Drosophila melanogaster: one gene and its partners. The protein of the gene in region 1 interacts with the protein of each later gene in a pairwise test. Each region holds a gene or a part of one and is shown in the gene's direction. Other genes may lie near its edges.

Region 1 (10,246 bases):
GAACATAATAAAGTGTTAACGGAACGAGTTATTAAGGTAGTCTCAATCCTATGGCCTAAGTTAATAAAGGCCAAAGGCAATTTGCATGGCCAGTGTGTGACGGCGTGGCAGCGTCTTAGGTTGCATCTAGGCGTACATAGCTCTGAGCAGGGGACTCAATCTCGGTCTATGCTATGCTCACCCACCGATCGACGGACACACAAGATGTCGGGAAATATAACATAAGCCGACCACACGTACGTCTCCCATGCCGCACAGCTGGACGCCGTGCCCAGATCTCAAAACTCAGAGCGAAGCTCAGTTCGCTGGATTGCGGAGGAAAAGCTGGAACGCCGTGTCTTGTGAGCAGAACAATCAATAAATTTGAACACGTGAGCGGACGCGAATGCGGACGGCTCTCGACGGTAACAACACTGATCCTATAGTCCCCAGTTCCCAGTCCCCCACTACCCCTCCACAAAACAACAGCAAAAGCAACAATTCAGAGCGATAAGTGATCAATGCGCCGTGTCGACTGATTGGGCAGCATCGGTGATCCAATGAGGTGGGGCAGTCGTAGGATTTGACTTGGAGAGCCACCAATTTGTGCTTATCGTCGATGGCGCAGAGAAAGTGATTTAAGCTGACCGTTCCTTCAATTAAAATTTAATTGTCCACTAAAGAAGTTACTTTATTGCTCCAAAAGCTAACCACGATTTCAAGTTGAAAGTGAATCAGTAGCAATCCTCGAAGTTGTACCACGGTGTGGCATCCACATCGTCCGTAATGATGGGTTCCCGGCGCGCTGTCGATGGGCCATAGAGGTTGTAGCGTCTGGAGCCAGCGACGATCTCGCGATACCGCCTCACCGGCGCCCTGGACATGTGCAGCTCCATCAGATCCCAGTCGTTGACGTCGCGGAAAACGGAGCGAATCATGTGCATGCGGCCCAGTAGCTCCGTCTCCCGCAATCCCTCGTACCTTCGGCCAGTGCGGGCCCGGAATGTCTTATAGACCTCACTCTGCTGCTTGGTCTCCGTCGCCGTTTGCAGCTCCTTCCTGTAAAGCGCTCGTATGCCGCGGCCCAGGTGGCGGATGTGCTCGAAGTTGCGAACGTTGAGCGCAACCAGAGCAACTGCGTCCAGATTCAGCAGCTTGTGTCCATCAATGTAGTTCTCCCGAAAAGTTTGCTGTAACGAAGCTATAGGTTACCCAACATAGTGAGTAAGAATCTTAGCCCACCTCGTACTCGGGATAACCAAAGTTGCGCAGCCAGTCGGTCACATCGTTGATGCTCCACTTGAAGACCTCAGTGCGGGCTTGGGAATCCACGACGGCGGCGCAGAGATTGAAGAGCGAGTCCGGCGAGGCCTTGAAGGGTAGCGGCACATCCTCCTTGTCGTACTCCACGTCCGGAAACATGTAGCTGGGATAGCGAAAGCAGAACTCCTGCTCATCCTGCGGCGGCTCACAGATATCCGGACTGTCCATGCCACTGGCACTGTGCGGCAGTGGTGACGGTATGGTGGAGCACCTGGACGCTGAGAACGACTCCATTCGAGTGGTGGCAGCGCACTGTTCCTGGGCCAAAGTGAATTGAGTTGCCCCGCAACGATTTGGTTGCGGTTTCCAGCGATTCCTCAAGAATAAGTGGCGTTCGTGTCTGTTTACATAGTTTGATTGCGTTTCGCTTTCATTTGTTGTATGCCCTATAATTTTCCGGGAAAAGTTGTTGGCTACAATCACTAAGGCTCAATTTGCACTTTAAATGGGTTAATGGAATTTAAGCCATGCTCTTTCCAATCAGTATCTTTGAACGTTCGGCATATCCTGGAATGTATCTGAATCTTTTTTTTTAAGTAAAAAGGATTATTTTATTATTAATCGGACTTCACTTTGAAGAGGATAAAAGTGTCACCGACTGGCGATGGATTTTCCGCTGCCATTGCATTTGCATATTCCACATTTTCTGGGTCACTTTGTGGGCTTGTGGTGCTAGGGTGTTTTTGGCACCAAATCCGCCCGCTTGGATGGGAGTTTTGTGCCGGAAAGTATGCTATCTTAAGGTAGTCACGACAATTTTCCTATTAATAACGCCAGTTTCGCTCCGCAATTTACACATTTCTACTTAAGTTTTCCAACCCCGACGATCCGTTCGTGTTCCGTTTTGCGGATTTCCGCTTGTGGAATGCGGTTTCTGATTTATGACCACCAGTCCCGGTTACCCACTTCATTGAACCCAGACAGCGTGGAGCAGGTGGAGTTCGCGCAGATCGCTCAATCCCAAGCCAATGGAAGGCACATTCCTTGGGCGCGAAAGCGAGATGCCGCATCAGCGCCACCAGTGGCTCCGCCCACCACTGCGGATCGATCGCATTGGCCAGAAATCACGAACCACGAGCCACTCGACATGGCCTCTGCGCAGGGAAACCGGAATTCGGATGGGGTGTGTGTGTCTGTGTGTGGGAGTACGGGAACATATGGAGAAATCGGTAAACAAATCTCGGCTGCGCTCGAGGAAACGATCTCCGACTGAGCTAATGACACAGCGGCATGCTTGTGTGTAAACAAGCGATCGGCATGGCAAGGTATCCCATCTGTGTGTGGCTACAGTGGGATCAGGTCTATGGTAAGTGGATTAACATAATTTTAGGGCACTTTCTAGAGGTATATAGATCTTCAGCGGAATAGAAACCAATGTTACCACCAACCGAAGCCCAAAAATCTAATCTTTCTTGATAGTATTACTCTTCTTGAGTATTACTTTATAAACAATATACACGTTGGATAAAAAAATATCCTGGTTTGTATATCCTGTATATCGAACATATAGCCATTATTTATTGTTAGCATTATATCCTGATCATCTCGCACTCCTTGCCCCACTGTCAGCACCAGGAATACACAATCTCAGCGAGATTAACCCCACCGCCAACAGACTGTTCCGCGTTGGCTGGCCGATCGGCAATCGATGGCTGGTTGAGCGTGCTCCCTGGCCGGTTCCGATCAGTTCTGAGTGGGATGTCTTGCAAGGCGGTTTAATCGGAGGTGCACGAGACCTAAGCCAAAATTCGCGATCGTTTTATTGGTGCACAGCGACGGTGTTTTGGACATGATAGATAGTCCCTATCGATTGTGAACGTGTGAAATCAGTTTTGAGTGTCCTGTGTCGAGATTCGTAGATAGAAACCATATACAACACATATCCGGACAATGTTACTACACGAGAGTGCCGCCAGCATGGAACAGAGTATGCCCGAGAACCTCAGCACTCACATGTACGGCGAGTGTGAAGTGAATCCAACGCTGGCAAAGTGTCCCGATCCAGTGAATGTCGATCATGAGCTGCCCACCAAAGAATCCTGTGCCTCGACTACCATAGTCAGTACGTCGCCAACCAGCGCCACGAGCACCACCAAAGTCAAGCTGAGCTTCAGTGTGGATCGTCTGTTGGGCTCGGAACCCGAGGAATCCCACCGGCAGAGCTCCTCCTCGCCCTCGACCAAGTCATGCTGCGATGGCAGCATTCTAGCCTGCTGCTCCTTCCCCCACTGCTTCAGCCAGGCGAATGCCGAATCCCGTAGGTTTGGACATGCCACGCTTCCGCCCACTTTCACACCCACTTCATCGCACACGTACCCCTTCGTGGGTCTGGATAAGCTGTTCCCTGGCCCCTATATGGATTACAAATCAGTGCTCAGACCGACGCCAATTCGGGCAGCAGAACACGGTAAGGATGCACTATACTCAAAAGGGAACATCCTTTGAATCCGAGCAGGTTTTACAAAAAAAATGTCCATTTGAAAGTAAATCATTCAAAATTACCATTAAGTGCACGGCATTTGGAACATCATGAGCAAACCGAGTTGATAGAAGGAAAACATTTAATCTCTGTAAGGGATGCCTTAAATTAATATGAACTATATTGGTACTGATCCGTATTACATGGATTATAGGTACCTAAGTGTATTTTTAAGATACTTTTAAACTTAAAAGGAATCAGCTCCATACAGAAAGCTATTGAAACATCATTCGTTCGCAGTGAACCTCTTCTAGTTCCAACAACGTACCACTTATCAAAATAATATTTTATACCCATGACTCTATCTTGTAGATACGATCTATCATCTGCACTATTTCAATCTCCCCGTATGTTGTGTGCACTTGCAGCGCCAATAAAACTGATCAAAGCTAATCAGATATTGCGATTTGTCAATCATTCTGCATTCTTTCCATGGAAATATGCAGGATCTCAGGGAACGATCAAACGAGTTGATGAGGTGGCTTCGCCATTTGCCCATCAAAATTCCTTAGCTATTTCGCTCTGTTTTTCAATTATGGACTATAATTATTAGCCATGTTGAGATTTGCAGAGAAAATCGTGAAATGGAATTTAGCCAAATGGGAAATGAACATTCCTGGAAACACAAAGAGTGAGAACCTAAGGCGCAGCCCCAATAAATTTCACGTTTTTATTTGAATTATTAGTTGATCTGCAGCCATATTGTGCAATATTCCTGCGGCCAAATGTTCCGCGCCTTTGGCTCTTGACGAAAACAATTCGATTTTTGAAATCGACAACAAAATAGTCCGGATTGTTTTGGGTATTTGCCGTACTTCCTGCTGTTTTTGTATATCTGGGGACGAAGACTTCTTATAAAGCCTGCAGGCTGCCAGCGCACTTTGATCTTGTTTATGTGAAAATGGAAATGGAAATGGAAATAGTGAGAGCAACATAATCGGTAAATGTTTCGCTTTTCGAATAGAAATTGTTCATTGTTTAACAAGCTGCTTGAGTTTTATACATATCGTCAGCACAGCCTTTTCCCATTCAATATTGTACACAATTCTTATCAAGTGGGTGCTAACAATGCGAGGGCCTTAAACGATCTTAAAGATCTTTTGCGGATAAATGAGATACATATTTGGTTTGGGATTCCTCAATGGATAAATTGATTAGGAAATGTCTGAGATATTAATTTATTTCAAAATAAGAGACCCGCAAATATGTGGAGCTATACTAAAATGATGTGTAAATGGTATTAGCGAGCTTAACTTAAAGCTTACTATAGTTTAGACCTAGTTACAAGTAGCAAAATACAATTTTTTAACAGCCGACTAAAACATATTCAAAAAAGACTTTGGTTGATTCATCCAACGTAAATTCGATACTAATAGCCCTTTAAATTCCGCCAAATTCCAGCACACGATTAAATTATGTAGCAAAATTAGCGCCAAACTTAAATAAATTACACTTCACACAATGATGGAACATTAATGAAAATTATCATCAGTGCTAAGTGGTTTTCAAACACATTTGCTCAGCCAAAAATGGGAGGAGCAATTAGTAAGGCGAATAAATTCGACATAGCTCAATCAACAAAAGATCGGTAAAAAAAAAACGAAGAACAGACAGCACCTGAAAGGCTTCATCAATCCTTTGGGCACCGCAAATAGATGAGATGCCAAAGACCAAAGTGGAAAATTAAGAACAATTTATGAACAAATTACGAGTCAGTCTTTAAAAATAAACTTCAAGCTCACACGGATCGTGGAAAACGTTTGTGGCGAACAGTTTGTTTATTTGCTTGGGCAATTGGCCCGTCATTCATGGGCAGATACAGATAGCTATCCATCTAATTGCCCGCTCTCTAATGAATTGTTCCGCCGGCCGAGGAGTTCGACAGGTGGAGGCATCTTTGGCCCGGCTAGAGACGCGGATCTCTGATAGATTGGGCGCCACGGTTCCAACTACTGCGGCTCAACCGACTCCAATGAGGCTCGGCTGCCGTTTAGGCCAACGACAGGGAACTGCTGACCGATGGATGACTGTACCGGGTATGGGTACGGGCACGGGCACGGGTGAAACTATGCGCTGTTCTTTGGGGGCCGAGCCAAAAGGCCAAGTATTTACACAACCACCCACTGTGGTGGCCTTTTCAGGAGGAGGCTACCCTGTGGCTGCCCGCCGTGTCCAACCTGCCGGCCCCTGCGGAATTATTCCGTGATGGATTGATTGCATCGCATCGCACATCATAAAATCATGGACCAGCGAGATCTCTGCGGCTCCTCCGTCGACTATTTGTTGCTGTTTGCCTGTCCCGCCTGGCGATGAGTAGTTTGTTGATCTGTTGTTGTTGCTCTTCTGGCTGCCGATCAATCGATCCATCCATCGATCGATTGGATGCTACAGACCATTGTCTGATATGGAAATTCTGTCTGAACAATAATCCGGCGCCGTGGGTCTAATTAATTAGCAATTTATATGTTAATCCAACTGATAGATGCACTTTCAAAGCGTTCGAAGATCCCTGATTAATGATGGCCCTCAGACGATTTCTTTTGGAACTTTGAAGACTCTTTCTCAAGTTCCCAACAGCAGGGGAGGGTTGTAGCAATAATAATTACCACGCACTCAACTCAAATTAACGGGACTGATATATGTATGTAGATACCACAACTATAGGATTAACTATAATGAATTGAGTGAAAATTGACGACAATCCCAAGTAGCTAAAGATATTTCACGAAATATACAATTGAAATATTAGCTATACTTTTGATTTCACTTAAATATTTTGAAAGTACATAATGCAGATAATATATCTTAGTGCATAGTTAGCTGGTAAAAGTCAGAGATTCGGATGTTCGGAAGTAGATACATATGTATAATATATTAAAATCAATCAAATAAACACATACTCCGCTTGTCGAGCTGGTAGTCGAAATTTCCATAGCACATGGCCCACTGGGAGTGCTCTGCTTAACCCCAAAAGATCATTCGCAATTTACCGCGAAATAAGCCACAATATTCGCCAAGTCGTAAATGTGGAATGCATCGTGCTAATAAATCGATGCAACTTAAATATGGCTGCGAAATGTACGATTCGCAAACACATCCTACTGGAGATGCATCTGCAACCCAGACCCTTGAGTGATTTAAGATGGCATCCGAAAAATTATCACAACTCATTAAGATATTTACGGGTCCGCTGGCGGTATTTTGTAAATGTATCTGAACGGGAAAGTCGGCAATTAATGATCTCGCGCTGTGAGTGAACCCCAATGCCCCGGCCAACATCCAAGGTGTTGAAAGTCGGTGAAAACTCATTATAACAAACCCCCGATGGTTGACACAAGCCAAATGCCAAAACGGCCAATTAAGGCGTTATTAGCCCCTGCAGATGTGCTGAGATTCCATTGGCGTTCCCGATGCAGATACACAAGCGCACGGATTGAGATACAATTGTATCCACAAGTGCAGAAGCGCATTTCCGCTGCAGTGTAAATACACACAATCGATCGAGTAGTGTGTTGCTTAAGTAAATAAAACGCTCGATCTCGAAAACAATTAGGCGCATGCCGCGAGCACACAAACAAATCGAATTCCACATAGCACAACGTTAAAAAGGCAATAAAAAATACCTATGATAATTTAGCGTTGGCTACAAACAAAGAGGAATGGTTTGCAGTTTGAAATCAAATAAAATTCAATGAAAAAGTCAAGGATAGGAATTAAAATTGTGGCCTTTTAACAACATCAGGATTACATTTCATATCAACATTAGTGAACATTATCGTGAACTGAGGATTCAAAGGAACTTTTTGTAGCATACTTTTCAGCGGAGTCCTTTGAGTTGATAAATGCCGTAATGATCTTGATTGAAACTCAGTAGTTAGATAAAGGATAGTAAATGCCAATAATGATTGGAAATACAATAGGAAAGTCAACGTCATTCGAATTGTTTCTTACTGCGTGTATAAATTCTTGGATATTTAAAAAACATTTAAGGGAAGTAAAGCACCCTGGTTCGACCTCAACCTCGTGTGCCCCATGTCGTGTTCGATTACCCCAAATAATTTTGGATCTCTAGAGGTAATTGTTGTTGTTTAGATTCGCGCTAGAAGTAAACAAATTTCGTTTGCCCCCCCTAGCCACAAAACGCTTCAATGATAATTTCCAATTAAGTGAAAATTTTATTATAAACAAGCCCATTTAAAAATTCTCAACATGCATTTTATTGATCAAAATAATTTACTCAGAAAACACAAAAAATTGAATTTCATATTTTCTTTGGCGAAACAAGTATCATTTCTTTGGCCGGCGATAAATGTATTATTTCCTGCGGATGCAATGTGCTACCAAGGGAGGATGTTGTCCATAACTAATGGTAGTTTTCCTATAAAAATAAATATCCAAATTGGTGCGTAAAAAACGCACCGGATTCAGTATAGCAACAAATTAAGAGTTATTGCTAATGAAGGAAGTATGAATCTCCCAATTGACTTTAACATTCCATTCCCGAACAGCCGCACCCACTTATCCCACGCTGGCTACCAATGCGCTCCTCCGCTTCCATCAACATCAGAAGCAGCAGCACCAGCAGCATCATCATCATCAGCACCATCCCAAACACCTCCATCAGCAGCACAAGCCCCCGCCACACAACTCGACGACAGCCTCGGCGCTACTGGCGCCGCTCCACAGCCTCACGAGCCTCCAGCTGACGCAACAGCAGCAGCGATTTCTGGGCAAGACGCCGCAGCAGCTCCTGGACATAGCGCCCACCTCGCCCGCCGCCGCCGCCGCTGCCACATCCCAGAACGGTGCACATGGACATGGAGGTGGCAATGGCCAGGGCAACGCCTCAGCCGGAAGCAATGGGAAGCGCAAGCGATCCTGGTCTCGCGCCGTCTTCTCGAATCTGCAGCGCAAGGGCCTGGAGATTCAGTTCCAGCAGCAGAAGTACATCACCAAGCCAGATCGCCGCAAGCTGGCGGCACGACTGAATCTCACCGACGCTCAGGTTAGTTAAAAGATGGGATTTTCATAGTTTAACATTTGCACATTCGACTCCTTTCATAGCTCTATAAAAACCAATATATTATTATTTTTATACCCTGATTAGGTCAAGGTGTGGTTCCAGAACCGTCGCATGAAGTGGCGGCACACGCGCGAGAATCTGAAGAGTGGCCAGGAGAAGCAGCCGAGTGCAGTACCCGAATCCGGAGGTGTCTTCAAGACATCCACGCCATCCGGTGATGGTACGCCCCAGGAGGCACTCGACTACAGTTCCGATAGCTGCTCCAGTGTGGATTTGAGCGAGCAGGCCGACGAAGATGATAATATTGAAATCAATGTGGTGGAGTAGAGCCGCCTATGTAGATAGCTCCGTTTACACGTGTAAAATGCCATGTAGATGTATTTATTCCTTCATTGCTAGTTGTAATGTAATGTAAAGTAGACAGATACTGCACAAAGTGAACTTAAATTATTTCAATCTGTAAGATAATCTAAACGTTTATGTGTAAACTATTTAAAATAAATTCTCTAGTAAAATGAACTTGTGAATTCACAGCTTGGTTTATTATTAATTTATTATTCACTATTCCATAGAATGAAGCTATAAAAATACGCAATGCTACGCGGCAAGAACAGAAATTTTAATTAAGCAAATACCGCTGCGATCAGCAGAATATGAAACTCGGCGACAACGGGGAGACCTTCTCTAATCAAGTGAACGATAAAAGACGATACGCGACTGAATGGCCAGAGCAAATACGACTGGAGTGAGTTGGTCAAGCGCGGGGGTGCGAATGGGTTTATCCAATACGATCGGATCGGTTGGTGGATCGCGACAGGGGAGTGAGAGGAGGGGGCACTGCGGATATAGAGCACTAATTAGAAAAACAGTGAGGGTAAATTGTTGGTGCACGACATTGAAATCTTACTCACTTGGGCTTTATTGTCATTGTCGGTCTCTTTGGCTGAGTTCGTTCATTTTTTCAATTACTTTAAGACTCCGCTGAAATTATAGAAAACTATAAAAAAATAACAACGATTTATAGCTGAATTTAAAGAACATTACTAAATAGAGAATAGAATAGAAACAATAAATATATATTACTCATACTTTAGCTGCAATCTTACGTTCATATATGATTTATAATTATATGCGTAATTCCTTTAGGGTATTTAACAGTCGGTGAATGACATATGCAATTTCAGCTCAGTTGAAGAAGTCTGTTTGGGCAACATTTGCTCACGTTCAGTTGTTTTTCCCAAAGCGAAGTGCGCGGTTGAGTTTCAGCTTAGGTGTTTGGTACTGCTCCAGAATTTAAAGATCTTTCAGATCTGCACATTGGATTTGCAAAGATAGCCTGGGCAACATGGGCAACACCCAAGCCCGACAACTGGAGAACCGCCAAGTGCCGAATCGGAGGAGCAGTGAGTGGCGAAAATACGGTTTCCGATTCTGATCATAAT
Region 2 (8,950 bases), on another chromosome or scaffold:
TCGATTTGCGGAGCTTAAGCGATGCCATTCAATGATGCCATTTCATTTGAAAATGGTAGTCGATTGCAAATTGGCAAATGGTCATTATCTTATTGCTATAGGTCAAACCATCTCTATTATTCATTCTAACCAATGCCCACGCAGCCAGCAGAAGTCAAGATTCTCGTTTTAATTGGCTCGATTCCAGTGCAGATTCGTTTGTTCTTAATCCGTTCTTTTTGATATCGAATGAAAGTGGAGCCGGTCTTGCTAAGCTTATATTTTAAACTCGAATGCCATTGAAATGGACTTAGGAAACGGTAGAGTGAGTTAGTGAAGATGTTCAATGAAATACCCAATTGGCTTATTGTGTGGTATGAGTGAATCGGAATACCTCAAGCTAATCAAGAATATTTACGGCCTCTCAGTTTTTTTTTTTTTTCAAATTTTATTTTCTTTCATTTATGTATATTCTCTTTTCGCTTACTATTTGAACGGAAATGGGCGATTTTTTGTTCTCCTCAATTTCCGACATATTTCAGATTGAAAAATATGTAAATTCGTGAAATTAATTAAATTTTGTAATGCGATTATCTACATATATCTTATGCCCAATTAAGAAGAAATAGAAAGAAGAAAAAACCTTAGCGAAATGACCATATTGAATATTTCCCCCAGTTAGTAGTAATAGGCATCCGGTGCGGATAAGATACATTCTGTTTGAAGAATCGGTATAAATTATAGTATAATAGATTTGTAAATTTAAATGACATAACTGTCTTTTAAATCCTACAAAGATAAAGAGTCGCTTAGTTTTGGATGCTTTCAGAAATATGTGTGTACATATATTACCAGGTACCGCCTAGTACTAGCGACCTGCCCATTGTGTCAAGTGGGCAATTTCTTCGTTCACAGCCAAGTTGCCTACGATCCGGAGCCGTGTTTAGTAGGAAGCCCAGCCAAGTTCGACCCACGGCACTTGGATGCAGCGGCCCACGCAGAAATCGAGCCATCATAGCAAAGGCATGACCAAAACAATCCGAAGCAAAGTCGCGTCAAGTACGCGTATATAAATAGCCCGATGCCCAGGCAAATATATGTATATATATGTATATGTATGTGTGTACGAATGACTCAGTCTGAGAAGCGATTTGGACTGAAATGATTTTAGCTAAAATCGAGCAGCACAATATACAAAGTCAACAAACAGCAAAACAAGCTTGTCAAACAGAGTTATGAGACAGAATGCTGGTGCATTGGGAAAAATAGTTTTCCAACTGACAGGCTGAACAAATATATATAACTAAATTAACTACTTCATCAATTTGATCTACTGCTTTCGTTACTCGAAATGTTTCTAGTTTAGCAAGTTGAACTTATGCAGACATAATGGTAAATTAGTTATAAAACTAATGAATTTGGTAAATTCCGATCTTTATTTTGTTAAAATTACAACAACTATTGGATGCTACTACCTGAGGAGAGATAATTTACTTTACAAATCTTTAATATCAAGCTATACTATAGTTTTTTCTCTGTGTAAGTGGAAGGGTTGTGGATGCGGGGTAGAGGGGAATTCGGGAAGGGAAGGTGAGCAGATCAGAGCAGAGCAGAGCAGCTGAGAGATGACGCCAACGTCGCTCAGCTGTTTCTCGGCCAAGTTAAGAGTTGCGGCCTTATAAATAGCCCAAGCTCGTCTAGAAGCCGACTCAGTTGAAAGCGAAGCGTGCCAAGTGGGAAATCGCAACCATTTATCAGTTGACACTTTTTGTTTTGTTTTTTATTTTACGTTCTTTATCTGCTGTAGTGCTAGTGTTTTCTAAGAACTGAACCCCGAAAATGGTGAGTTGCAGTGGGAATAACCAAAATCAATATGTATATATAAACGTGTGTTAAGGAATATATCCTTTTTTTTTTTTAAATCATCTAAACTGAAGCAATCTATCAACGATGGATAATTTATAAACAATTTTATAAAAGTAATAAAAATGGGTTCGATTTAAGGAAAGAATCTGAATCACGAATAAGTATATAGATTTAAACTTGCACATTTATTTGCTGTTTATTTTCTTCACCGCGAAAACTTAAGTGAAAAAATTACGCACAAAGGCAATACATAAAATATGCATTCAGTAAATGATACGTGAATGGAATATTGATGTACTTAAAGCAAACACGACAAAAAAAATATTCATTTCACAATGTAAGGACTTAACTTTGCTATTTGCTATTTACTTCCGGCTAGATGAATAGTGGTGAATGGATTTGCAAATACATCGAATGAACCAAGAAATATTCCCACATACTCGTAATGTTTCTGAAGCCCACGATCGGTTTATTCTTTTGAGTGTCTTCGATCTGCCTTTTATCTGCCCATTTTTTTGTTTTTTTTGGCGATGATCAATCACTCAACGCTTTTTAAGCTGCCCAAGTAAACATCAAGCCCATTATTCATTTGTTTGTGCACAAAGCCAAAAACACAAACCAATTAGTTTCTAGCACTTTAGCATAGCTTGTTATTTTAATTGCCATTACGAGAAGAGTAAAAAGTCCAATAGATTTGAATTGTTTACCTTTTTACCTACTTATGTTGAGCACTTAACATTTTCTTGCTCATTATTTAAATTTAGAAAGCATTAATTTAATCTAAACTCTGACAGGTTTTACGTTTTATTTAACTAATTCAAGATTGAACAGATTATATAGTTGACTATTTAGTTCTCGCCCTTCCAAAAGCAATTATTTAAATGTACATATGTATGTACATATATAATATAACAAATATGGCTCTGATTCACTTCACTTCCCTTGCGCAATGTAATCAGATTATAAATCACCCTGCAAGATGTGTGATTTAAGAAAAAAATCCAATTTCCTCCCTCGGTGGATCCATCCGTGCCATTTACGCGATGATCGACAACTTAGTTGATACGAACATGGACTACCATATTGGTCATTCAGAGTAATTCGAAAAGGCAGCCGACCCCCATTTGCATATTCTTATTGTATGCCGATATTTGAATAATTGTTTTTAGCCCGAATTGAGCTTCCAAAGAAGCGGACAACAAGTTTATCACCCATGTGTCATTCGCCAACAATGATCGCCACCTTGAGAGCGAAGCCATATCATCATCTCGATCGTCTCGTCTCGTCTCGTCTCATCTCCATGCCCAGTTAGCCCAAACATGGTGCCACCAGAATCCCACTGACCACTGAGAGTCCAAGTCCAAGCCAATGTTTGCTACCAAACAGCGGATCATCGAGTTAGTCATGTTTATTGGGCTTTTTCAGAACTCGAATGCGATTATGACACATAAACCGGCAAAGGGGGCGTGATACTCGCTTCTCGATTGAGATGTTTGTTCATATCGAATACTTTAGTGAATGAATCCCAATCCAGTTCAAACTCATTTCATTCGACTGGCTCTACGATTGACGCAGAATATGACATTTATCTTTGTATTACCGTTGTCTTTTATTTAGTTTCGTTACTAATGAGAACTAGTGAATGCACTCCATTTGGAGTTACTTCAAGTTAGTATTCAAATATATTCAAATATTATATTCATCTTAGATCGGTATCGTATTGAATTTAAATTCAAGTGATAGCAGCACTAATCGCAGCTGATCCTTCTCTTGCAGCAGCAGCTCCTGGTCGTGGCCCTGGTGGCGGTGGCCATCGCGTCCTTGCCCCAACTGGCCGCAGGTAAAAAGCTGGGGAAGCGCTGCGTGAACTGCACGTACCGCACTTACTACACCTACGGCGATGGGCGATCCCTGCAGCGGGTTGTCTATAGAGATCCGGTCTACACACGTGGTATTTACACAGCTTGCCTATCAGTATCCGTATTCGTAGTCTTACCGCACCAGCACGATGTACATAGGAGGAGAGCACCGCCGCCAGCACCCTGACCCCTGACCCTTGACCCTTGATCCTTGACCATTGACCCCGCGCCCCAAATGTGTCTGCAGTAGCTAACCCCTAACCCCTAACCCCTATATATATATAGTATAGTATATAGTATAGTATAGTATAGTATAGTATAGTATACATATGTATGTACATACCATACTCGTAGTAGCGTAGCATTAGAGATTAGATTGAGACACAAGTTCACCTGCGCACCAGTGCATCACCTCACCGCCTGTGCCTCTCTCCTCTCCTCTCGCCCACACAGCGCAGTCCTACGCGAGCGGATGCAGCGGTAGCCCGTGCGGCGTGAACGCCGTGTGCCAGGAGGCCTCCGGAGGACGGCCCGTCTGCTCGTGCCCGCCCGGATTCAGCGGTAATCCGCTCACCCACTGCAATCGCGGCGAGTGCCTGGACAACGTCGACTGTCGCGACAACCTGCAGTGCAAGGACAATCGCTGCGTTAATCCCTGCGTGGGTGCCTGTGGCATTGGCTCCAATTGTGACGTAAGTGGGACTTTTATGTCGCCAACACTCCTCCACGGCCAACTTCTGGCGCATTCCCTCGCATTCTGACCATCGGCACTCTACGCCACCTCCGCTTGCTCTTTCCAGGCCCGCAACCACGTGGCCGTGTGCAGCTGCCCCGCCGGCTACAATGGCGACCCATACCACGCCTGCCACCTCAACGATCCGGGTAAGTGCCTGACCACTCCACTACCGCCCACATGCCGCGGGGTAGGCGTGGCAGAGCTCAAAATCGATTAAAATGCCGGGTGTCATAAGAGTCGTTCGCTCAACTGGGAGCTGTTGAAATCAATCCGCTTCGATTGTGTATTTCGTTTCACGATTAAATAAATTAATTAATTGGGAAATCTGAGAAATGCACAATTTAAAGATATATGTACTAGTAGATGATCGAATCAATTAAAAGCTCTTAGTTCTTAACGCGCACATCTTAACATTGATTATGTACTAATAATATATGAATTACAATCATCAGCTGGTTAAAATTTTAATTAGCTAAAAGATGCAAGTGATCATACATGTATGTACATACATAGTGTGGATGTGAAAACCAAGCCGAGAAATAAGCCTTGACCACTTGAATTAAATCAAGGGCAAACAGGTTTCTTTACTGAGTTACATAACAATGAGATGAACCAAGAGGAGCGGAGTGTTTGCAGTGTTAAAATTATTGGCAATACACGAATGCACTTGAAAATTGGCATAATGCAATGCCTTGTCTAATAGAAAAATTTCAAACTAAATGAACACATAGATCGCGACATATTTGTAAACAATTTGTAAACAACTCATGTTGTTTATTATGTTTTATTTATTATTATTATTTTTTTTTTGCATTAATGCAAAGTGGACATACGACTGATTGTTCCGGAAATGCATAGATATAGACATGGATTGACATAGGTACATCGATTAATTAGCCCACTCGCGAATCCCTTCTCCACAATGAGGTGCTAGATAAGTGGCAAGATGACGTCGCAAATCCAAGTGGTATTGCCAAATTTGGTCAAATCTAGTGTATTGACAAAAACAGGGGGCTGGGCCTCTGGACAGCATGTGGGTTTACCTTGCTTGCATAACATTTTGCACTCGATGATAATGAGAATTATAATAATAATAATAATAATCCAAAGCCAACGGCCAACGCCCAACACTTGGGGCCTTTGTAATTTTATGGTAATTAGCATAGCATTTCGCTTCGCAATTGTCAAGATCAAGGACGCAGTGGGCGAGCTCTCAAGGCCAACGAGTGTCCGTAGTCGAGCCTAGTAGAGCTGGAATCCGACGGAACCGAAAGGTGGCCCCGGTTAGGCACCAGTCAACATCCGATTATGGTCATAAGCTGCGCAGGTCGGCCAGCTACCATTCAGGTAGCACAGGTCGGCCGAGTGGCTTGGGAATTTCGCTGGAAGAAGACAACTTGATCCACCCGGGGGCTACACTGCAAGAAACTGATTGAAAAATATCATCTTTAGAACGACAAACTGAAGCACACTGAACGTAATTTGATCGGCTTAAATATTTAAGCGTTCTAAATGGGAATAGTAACATTTCCAAACACTTCATATTCAGAACTTGCCATAAATAGTGGCTAAGCGCAGGTTCCGTCATTAGTTGAAATAATTCCTGCTGGGAATTTCTTAACTATAAATATTAAAATTAACACATAATTGAAAGCTTTTTTCTAAATTGTGACCGTGAAAGTTGAGCGGTGTAAATGTCACTAGGACCTGCTTGTTTATTACCAACATTCTGGCTTTTATACGAACGGACAAACGCACATGTTCAAAAGGCAAATTAACTAGAACTTCTAACCAGGAAATTATTTGATGGGTGGGGGGGGGGGGGGGGTCTTCTACCTCAACGAATCTATTATATTCCTTAACTTTTAACGCCAATATTGAGCTGCTAAATATTATCTTTGGCTTGAATTTCTTTAAAATAAAGTCAGTTGAAAACCAATTTCAATTGCTGTCCGTCCAAGAGTCGGCGTCAATAAATTGCATCTCTACGTTGGTTGCTCATTCGGGATTCGTGTCGAGTCCAAGGGCCTGGCATTTCTCGCCCCTTTTCCGATTTCTGCATCTTAACTGGTCCTCCGATATACATATATTCTTGATTTCACTTAAATCCCTTTCTGTGTTGCCTTTACTCCGGCCTCCGTTTGCGTGCAATTCCCATTGAAATACAATATTTATTTGCATTTCCAATTAGCAACTGACTTGGAAACAATAATTGCAAACGAACAGTCTGCGGGGAATGGAAGTAGCTCGGATTCCCTGCTCCATGATGTTCCCTGCTGCCGCCCCAAGGACACCGGATTCTTTTCCATTCATGTTCCTGGGGAGCCGAAGCAGTTGCGATTCCCTTTGGGCGTGTTGCAGACCAACTGAAAACATTCACGGACATTTGCCTTAAAGATTTCGTGCAGGAATACAAATGAATTGCTAACATTTAAAGGTCCACAATGCGTTTGCCACGCCGATAATAAAAAATAACTATTTGGTTAGCTATATATTTCGAAGAAAATCTACCAATACATCGATTTAATGTCGACGACGAGCATTTCCGACTTTCGTTGCAAGACATTTTGCAATCGATTTTCAAAACCGAACTCCACATTTCATTACAATACATTTTCCCGGCGCGGAAAAGTTGCTGCTTCTCGCAAATTATGTCAAAAGGAAATGTAAGAGAAAAGGCCTGATAATGGCGAAACTTTTGCCATCGGAACGGAAAACAACGCAAACTAATTTCTTGACTTGCTCACCGCACCACCACCATCATCATCATCATCATCATCACCATCATCATCATCATCATCTTGAACGACGAGTAACAACAATTGGTGCAAAAATAAAAGAAAATATGGGGTAAAAACCAAAAATATGCGCATAAATGAGCCCGGCTATTTGAATATGATTTTCTATTTGCCCACTTTGAGTGGCCGGCCCCCAATTATTGGCCCCATTGGAGGTATTTTCCCGATTTGACCGGAACACAAGTCACATGACCCGGCATAAATCAAAAATGGGGCAGCAACAGCGGATGTTGACAGGGGCCACAACCCCCAACGATGGTGAAAGGTGAAAGGTGAAAGGTCGGGTGGAAAACAACTTCCTTCGTCGGCCGATTGAACTTTTCATAGACTCAACTAAATCGACACTTGAACTTGGCAATATAGCACTTACTTACTGAAAAGTCTTGCTCAGATGGAAATGAATCCATCATCGCCATGCCGCATTCAAAATATACTGTTGCAGACAGCTTTGTGGGCGAGTCTACGACACTGCTGTGTGTCGTCCATTTCCAAACATTAATCTCTCATTCCATTCCGCAGAGGAGCAGTGCCATCCCAGTCCGTGCGGCGTTAACACCAAGTGCGAGATCATCAACGGCGTGCCCACCTGCTCATGCGTTCACGGCTATGTGGGCAATCCGCTGAGCGGCTGTCGCCACGAGTGCGATCACGATGGCGACTGCAGCAGCCGGGACATGTGCTCCAGCAACTTCAAGTGCGTGCCGGCATGCGGGCAGTGCGGCACTGGCGCCACCTGCCGAACGGTCAGCAATCACCGGGCTGTCTGCGAGTGCCCCAAGGGCTACATTGGCAGCCCGTACACGGAGTGCCGACCGGAGTGCTATGGCGATGCCGACTGCCCGGCCGGGCGACCCGCCTGCTTCTACGGCATCTGCAAGAACACCTGCGAGGGTGCCTGCGGCATCGGCGCCGACTGCAACCTGCGCGGCCTCACACCCGTCTGCAGCTGCCCCCGCGACATGACCGGCGATCCCTTCGTGCGCTGCCGTCCCTTCACCAAGGAGGACCTTTGCGACCCCAATCCGTGCGGCACCAACGCCATCTGCGTGCCCGGACACGACAACACCGGCCGCGAGCGGCCCGTCTGCAACTGCCTGCCCGGCCACACCGGCAATCCGCTGAGCCACTGCACCCGGGTGAGTCACTGTCCAAATCATAGGCAATCATACAGATTGGGCAACAACGGTGTTATCTACGATGATCCGGTGATCCCAATCATAGAGTTCTTCCTACTGTTTCTACTTTTTAATTATACCAAAAAAGAGTTGACAAACTAGTGACGAACGCTCTCTTAAGCGGAAACGGCAAATATGTCGAAATTTTGTCTGTATTTCGATTTTAAATAGAGTTCTTCTTCTTCTTCATTCTCCATTATAATGGGGCATAACTACTGTACTAACCCACTTACCCTCGTCCACAGGGTGAGTGCCTGAGCAACAACGAGTGCCCCGACCATCGCGCCTGCATCAACTACCAGTGCATCGATCCCTGCATCGGCAAGTGTGCCACTGGAGCCAGCTGCGAGCCCAAGGCCCACCTGGCTGTCTGCCGCTGTCCACAGGGACAGTCGGGCGACGCCCTGGTGTCCTGTCGCCAGACGCGCACCTTTCCCGTGGCCAAGTACCACTGAGGCGGGATGGGGAGTCGTATAGTCCCGGAGCCGCACTGCCTGCCAAACCAGTCACCATCCGCCCAGCCAATCCCCATCCCAA
Region 3 (4,660 bases), on another chromosome or scaffold:
ATAAAGATATTATCAAATGGAAAAGATAGAGGCTCAAATTATCATTCGATATTTAAGTATAAGTAAAGTGTTTAGCAGGATCAAGATATGCTATTGTGCCAACATACCCTAACTCCCTTCGCGTAAGGGGATGCGAAAAGTTTATCCAAAAAGGAAGCTCCGAAGTTAACTGGCGCAAAGCTCCGTTGCTAGGCTGGCCGGCAATCGGATAGAACAGAAGGTTCAACGATCCATTACGATTATTAATTTTTGCATATAAATTTGCATTGTACAGAAGTATGTGTATATATGATTATATGGACACGTGATGTCAGTATGTGTGTGCGTGGTAAACAAAAAACCGATCATCAGCTGTTAGACGGCGCTTATCAGCTGGCAATACAGAAAAAAAGCAACGCGGAAAAGAGCCCACTGTCCAACTGTCCCACTTCCACCTAGAATTCCACTGTGCTGACCTTGACAACCTAATCTCCTCCACAGAAAACAGCTTCGTCTCGCTCGCACTGCCATTATGCAAGTGCGTGAGCATCTACTTTCCTTTTATCTTCCGCTCTCTCTTTCGCTCATCGTGAGTGACACGCGCAGAAACCGTGCAAGTAAAGCTCGCCGGCCTGCAGCTTTTGTCGCCGGAAAACGCACGAGAAAAGTTCTGAAAGTGAAAGTGCTTTTCCAGGCTTCAGTCAATATGTAATGAGTACTATGTGCCGTACTATTTAACCTTGAACTTGTGGATAAAGGACGTTAGCGCCGTTAACATTTTGAAGCTCGGGTCTGCAACAACAAATGCTTATCACTGAGACGCCGAAACAGCAACAAAATTTCAAATATAATTCAGACAATCCGGCACAGAGCAAATTTATGCAAAATTACTCATCATCGCTGAAAGCGTCGTCGTCACAGAGCAATTAAACAATTGCGATAGTGGAAGTTTACAGCGGTTCAAGATTATTATTGCTGCATTATTTCCGATGGCATGTTTAATAGGGTGTGATTGCGATGGTGTAGGTTATTTTACTTGTGGCGCGCTCCGCATGGAATGACTTCTATTTCACCTTTACACATTTCGCTAACGAGGTTCTTTTGAGATTGTATGGGTGTGCGAATTGAATTCGCAGCCGTGCTTGTGTGTATGTGTTTTGTGAGGCGGCAAACGCAATTCTACATAATGTGGAGAAATTGCTTGCATCATCAACAACAGCAAAAACAAATGTCTTGCCCCCGCCAATTTCGTTAGCAAAATTTCTAGCGTATTATAATGGAATGATGTTTAGCTTGAGGTCGTATCAAGAAGATCTGATAATTACCTGTTTTTGACAGTAAAGGTGAACTCGCGGAAAGATGTATTTGCTCTTCCTGTTTTGGAATTATTTTAATTCAATTTAAATGCACAGGCAGCGAACACTCCAATCAGAAACAGTGCGTCCGGCGATCTGTTCGAAAAAACAGTTGGCACCAATGAGCCTAAAAAAGCCACTCGTTTTTAAAATAAATACCATTTGGTATATACATACCAGATTCACGATATAACATTTGGGGTCTTCGGAAAGCTTTAAATTTTATTTAAAGCAATTTGTAATAAAGCCTAAAACATATGCTCCTTATTTATCCTCATTTATTCAGTTGCGTAAAGTATTATTTTTAATAGAACAAACTTATATTTTTAAAATTGGTTTGTGATTTTTGTTATTTTTTAGCTTCTTCTTAGCAGCGGTAGCCATTCGCCCGGAACCGTTTGTTTTTGTTTTGCTTTTCACGGTAAGCGTGTTGTTTTTCTCGATTTAATTGAATTTTAAATAACAAATTTTCGAGAATAGAAAAATGGCCACTGAGGTGTCGCAACTTTTGCTGGCGGTGGTCCAGGGCATCCCAGCCGGTGCCACCAACGATGACCTGACCAAGGCGCTGCCCGATGTGCCGGCGGCCACGCGGGTGGAAGCTTTGAATATACTGCTGCAGGAGGGCGGGATCGAGATCCTGAAGAAGGGTGAAAAGCTGGTGTACCGTGCCAAGGACCCGGAAAAGAAGAGTGCCCTGCCCAAGGATGCGGACAATGAGGAGAAGGTCGTCTACGGCATTGTTGAGGAGGGCGGCAACAAAGGCATCTGGATTAGGGATATACGTATGAAGTCCAACCTGAACATGATACAGCTCAACAAGATCCTCAAGAACCTAGAAACCAAGAAGCTCATCAAGGCGGTCAAGTCGGTGAACGTAGGTTCTATGATCCCATATTCCAAGTTCAATGTGATTCCAAATTTTCTTCGCGCAGGCCAGCAAAAAGAAAGTGTACATGCTGTACAACCTAGAGCCGGATCTCTCCATTACGGGAGGAGCCTGGTACCAGGATCAGGACTTTGAGGTGGAGTTTGTGGATGTGCTCAACCAGCAGTGCCTGCGCTTTCTGCAAATGAAACGCGACAGTGCGGAAAAGAAGCGCGAGGGGCCACTGGCCTTCAAGCAGATGTCTTGCTGCACGGTGAACGAGGTTCAGAAGTTCATCTCGGACTTGGGCATCAGCAAGGTTAATCTGGCGGAGGCCGATCTGGAAACAATTCTCAAAACAGTGGTGTACGACGGCAATGCGGAGCGAGTGCGCCAGCAGGATGGATCCTTCGTCTACCGGGCGGTGAACGCCCCACTTCCTCCGACTGGTCTGGTCCAGATGCCATGTGGCATTTGTCCCGTCATCAAAAACTGCTCCAATTGTGGCGATGTAACTGCTATAACTTGTGAATATATGCGAGATTGGTTGGATTAGGGATTAGCTCGAAAACTCTGGATTTTATTTTATATTAAGTATTACAAATTGAACTTATTGTTTATTAAGCTTTTTGTAGCACAAACATTATTAACTCTTAAATGTTATGGTTACCATAAAAAAAAGGAAAATTTGAAACCGATTTTTTAAATCGCAAACACATATCGTATTTCATCATTCATCGCTACGATATTCGCAGAATATGTCAGCTGGTTGCCAATCGCCCGGAACGCATGAACAGATACGTGGCTGTTGAATATGTGAATGAAAACTCGAAAATTCCGACAAAAGCTGCGAAACGAAATAAAATTTAATTTTATTGAGGCGTTATTATGCGATAGCTGTCCCAAGGCCGCCAAGTGCAATTCCTCCGCCGCCTTAGGAACCCCGAATTTAAGGAAATGGGTTTGTGCAAGTGCCCCAAGCGCCTGGTGACCAACCAGTTTTGCTTTGAGCATCGAGTCAATGTTTGCGAACACTGTATGGTTCAGTCTCATCCAAAGGTAAGGATTCCTGTCCTCTAGTTTTATGGATGCTTGGAATACACCATATCCACTCTTTTTCAGTGCATTGTGCAGTCGTATCTGCAGTGGCTGCGGGACAGCGACTACATCTCCAACTGCACTCTGTGCGGCACCACATTGGAGCAGGGCGATTGCGTGCGCCTCGTCTGCTACCGTAGGGATCTGCCAGTTTTGAGCTAATCCAGACACCACACACTTACCCATAATCCTGCCATTTCCAGATGTTTTCCACTGGGACTGCCTGAACGCCCGCCAAGCCGCACTGCCTGCCAACACAGCCCCTCGGGGTCACCAGTGCCCCGCCTGCAGTGTGGAGATCTTTCCCAACGCCAACCTGGTCTCCCCGGTGGCCGATGCTCTGAAGAGTTTCCTGTCGCAGGTTAACTGGGGCAGAAATGGCCTGGGACTCGCCCTGGTAAGCATTCCGGGCAGTAAGCTTGTAATCAATTTAAATGTTGAATCTTTCCCAGCTCTCTGAGGAGCAGAGCAGCAGTCTGAAGGCCATTAAGCCCAAGGTGGCAAGCCAGGCGGCTGTCAGCAACATGACCAAAGTGCACCACATCCATTCCGGTGGCGAGCGAGAGCGCACGAAGCCCAATGGCCATGACGCCGTGAGCCCACATTCCGTGCTCCTAATGGATGCATTTAATCCCCCAAGTGCGGGCGACTACGGTGCGCATAATCTAGCATACACTTTGAGTCATATTATAATTATAATCTTACGCACCTGCAGCCAGCAGCAGAAGACCGCTGCTGCCCCGTCAGTCGCCAATTGGTGGGACAGATCGAGACGATAATAAGTACCAGCGCCGCACTCCTGCGGAATTGTTCTCGCGATGGACACGCCGCTTCTATGCGCCCTCCTCGCGGCCGCCGTGGCGTCGCACTTGGTTCCTGGTGACCGCCGGCATTTTGGCCTTTGTCTTGTTCGTCTATCTTATGGCCTGGCTGGGTCGCGGAGGATCTGATGCCGTGGACGAGGGCTGGAATAACCCCAATCCACAGCCGAACCACTACGAATAGGGTGTGCATTCACGGTCGAAATAAGCATACGTAGCATATAATCGATATCCAAGTCCCCGATTCCGAAAGAATAAAACTTTTACAGCTATTTATATAACCTAACATTGCAAAGCGAAATAATACAACGACAAAGAACGATTTTTACTCGCAGATCATCTATCTAGTCAACATGGGGTTTCAATGTCTGGACTTGACTTCCCTCGGCGGGCGGGGTGCGCTTAGCCGGCGTCGATGGCTGCGGCTTACGTTTGGGCGCGTCCAAGACCTCATCGTACTCGTGCAGCTTCTTGGCCAGGAAGTACATCTCAGCCAGGGCTATGATGAGCGCTACAATCACGCCCAGCAAGATGCGAAA

Evidence for each region. Proteins that work in one complex are often made in the same cells at the same time.
Region 2: the proteins of H2.0 (region 1) and aspr interact in a two-hybrid assay, tested with the Drosophila melanogaster proteins (one large-scale study listed by BioGRID).
Region 3: the proteins of H2.0 (region 1) and Polr3F interact in a two-hybrid assay, tested with the Drosophila melanogaster proteins (one large-scale study listed by BioGRID).

The regions. Positions count from the first base shown.
Region 1 is NT_033779.5:6,012,140-6,022,385, reverse strand, and holds H2.0 (homeodomain protein 2.0), read left to right. Parts: upstream 1-2,983; 5' UTR 2,984-3,192; coding exon 3,193-3,709; intron 3,710-8,289; coding exon 8,290-8,786; intron 8,787-8,888; coding exon 8,889-9,131; 3' UTR 9,132-9,327; downstream 9,328-10,246. Other genes in the region: CG13996 (uncharacterized protein), read right to left, coding at 714-1,169, 1,222-1,536; CG9098 (uncharacterized protein), read left to right, coding at 10,150-10,207. UniProt on the Drosophila melanogaster protein: May play a role in pattern formation during embryonic and imaginal development. Is not essential for visceral muscle morphogenesis.
Region 2 is NC_004354.4:20,146,441-20,155,390, forward strand, and holds the start of aspr (asperous), read left to right. Parts: upstream 1-1,683; 5' UTR 1,684-1,818; coding exon 1,819-1,821; intron 1,822-3,621; coding exon 3,622-3,796; intron 3,797-4,157; coding exon 4,158-4,396; intron 4,397-4,504; coding exon 4,505-4,586; intron 4,587-7,757; coding exon 7,758-8,374; intron 8,375-8,658; coding exon 8,659-8,868; 3' UTR 8,869-8,950.
Region 3 is NT_033777.3:22,364,313-22,368,972, reverse strand, and holds Polr3F (RNA polymerase III subunit F), read left to right. Parts: upstream 1-1,599; 5' UTR 1,600-1,619; intron 1,620-1,694; 5' UTR 1,695-1,755; intron 1,756-1,813; exon of another isoform or gene 1,814-1,814; 5' UTR 1,815-1,818; coding exon 1,819-2,211; intron 2,212-2,269; coding exon 2,270-2,758; 3' UTR 2,759-2,893; downstream 2,894-4,660. Other genes in the region: CG5382 (uncharacterized protein), read left to right, coding at 3,160-3,261, 3,325-3,436, 3,504-3,697, 3,753-3,954, 4,016-4,305; CG7071 (uncharacterized protein), read right to left, coding at 4,466-4,660. UniProt on the Drosophila melanogaster protein: DNA-dependent RNA polymerase catalyzes the transcription of DNA into RNA using the four ribonucleoside triphosphates as substrates. Specific peripheric component of RNA polymerase III which synthesizes small RNAs, such as 5S rRNA and tRNAs.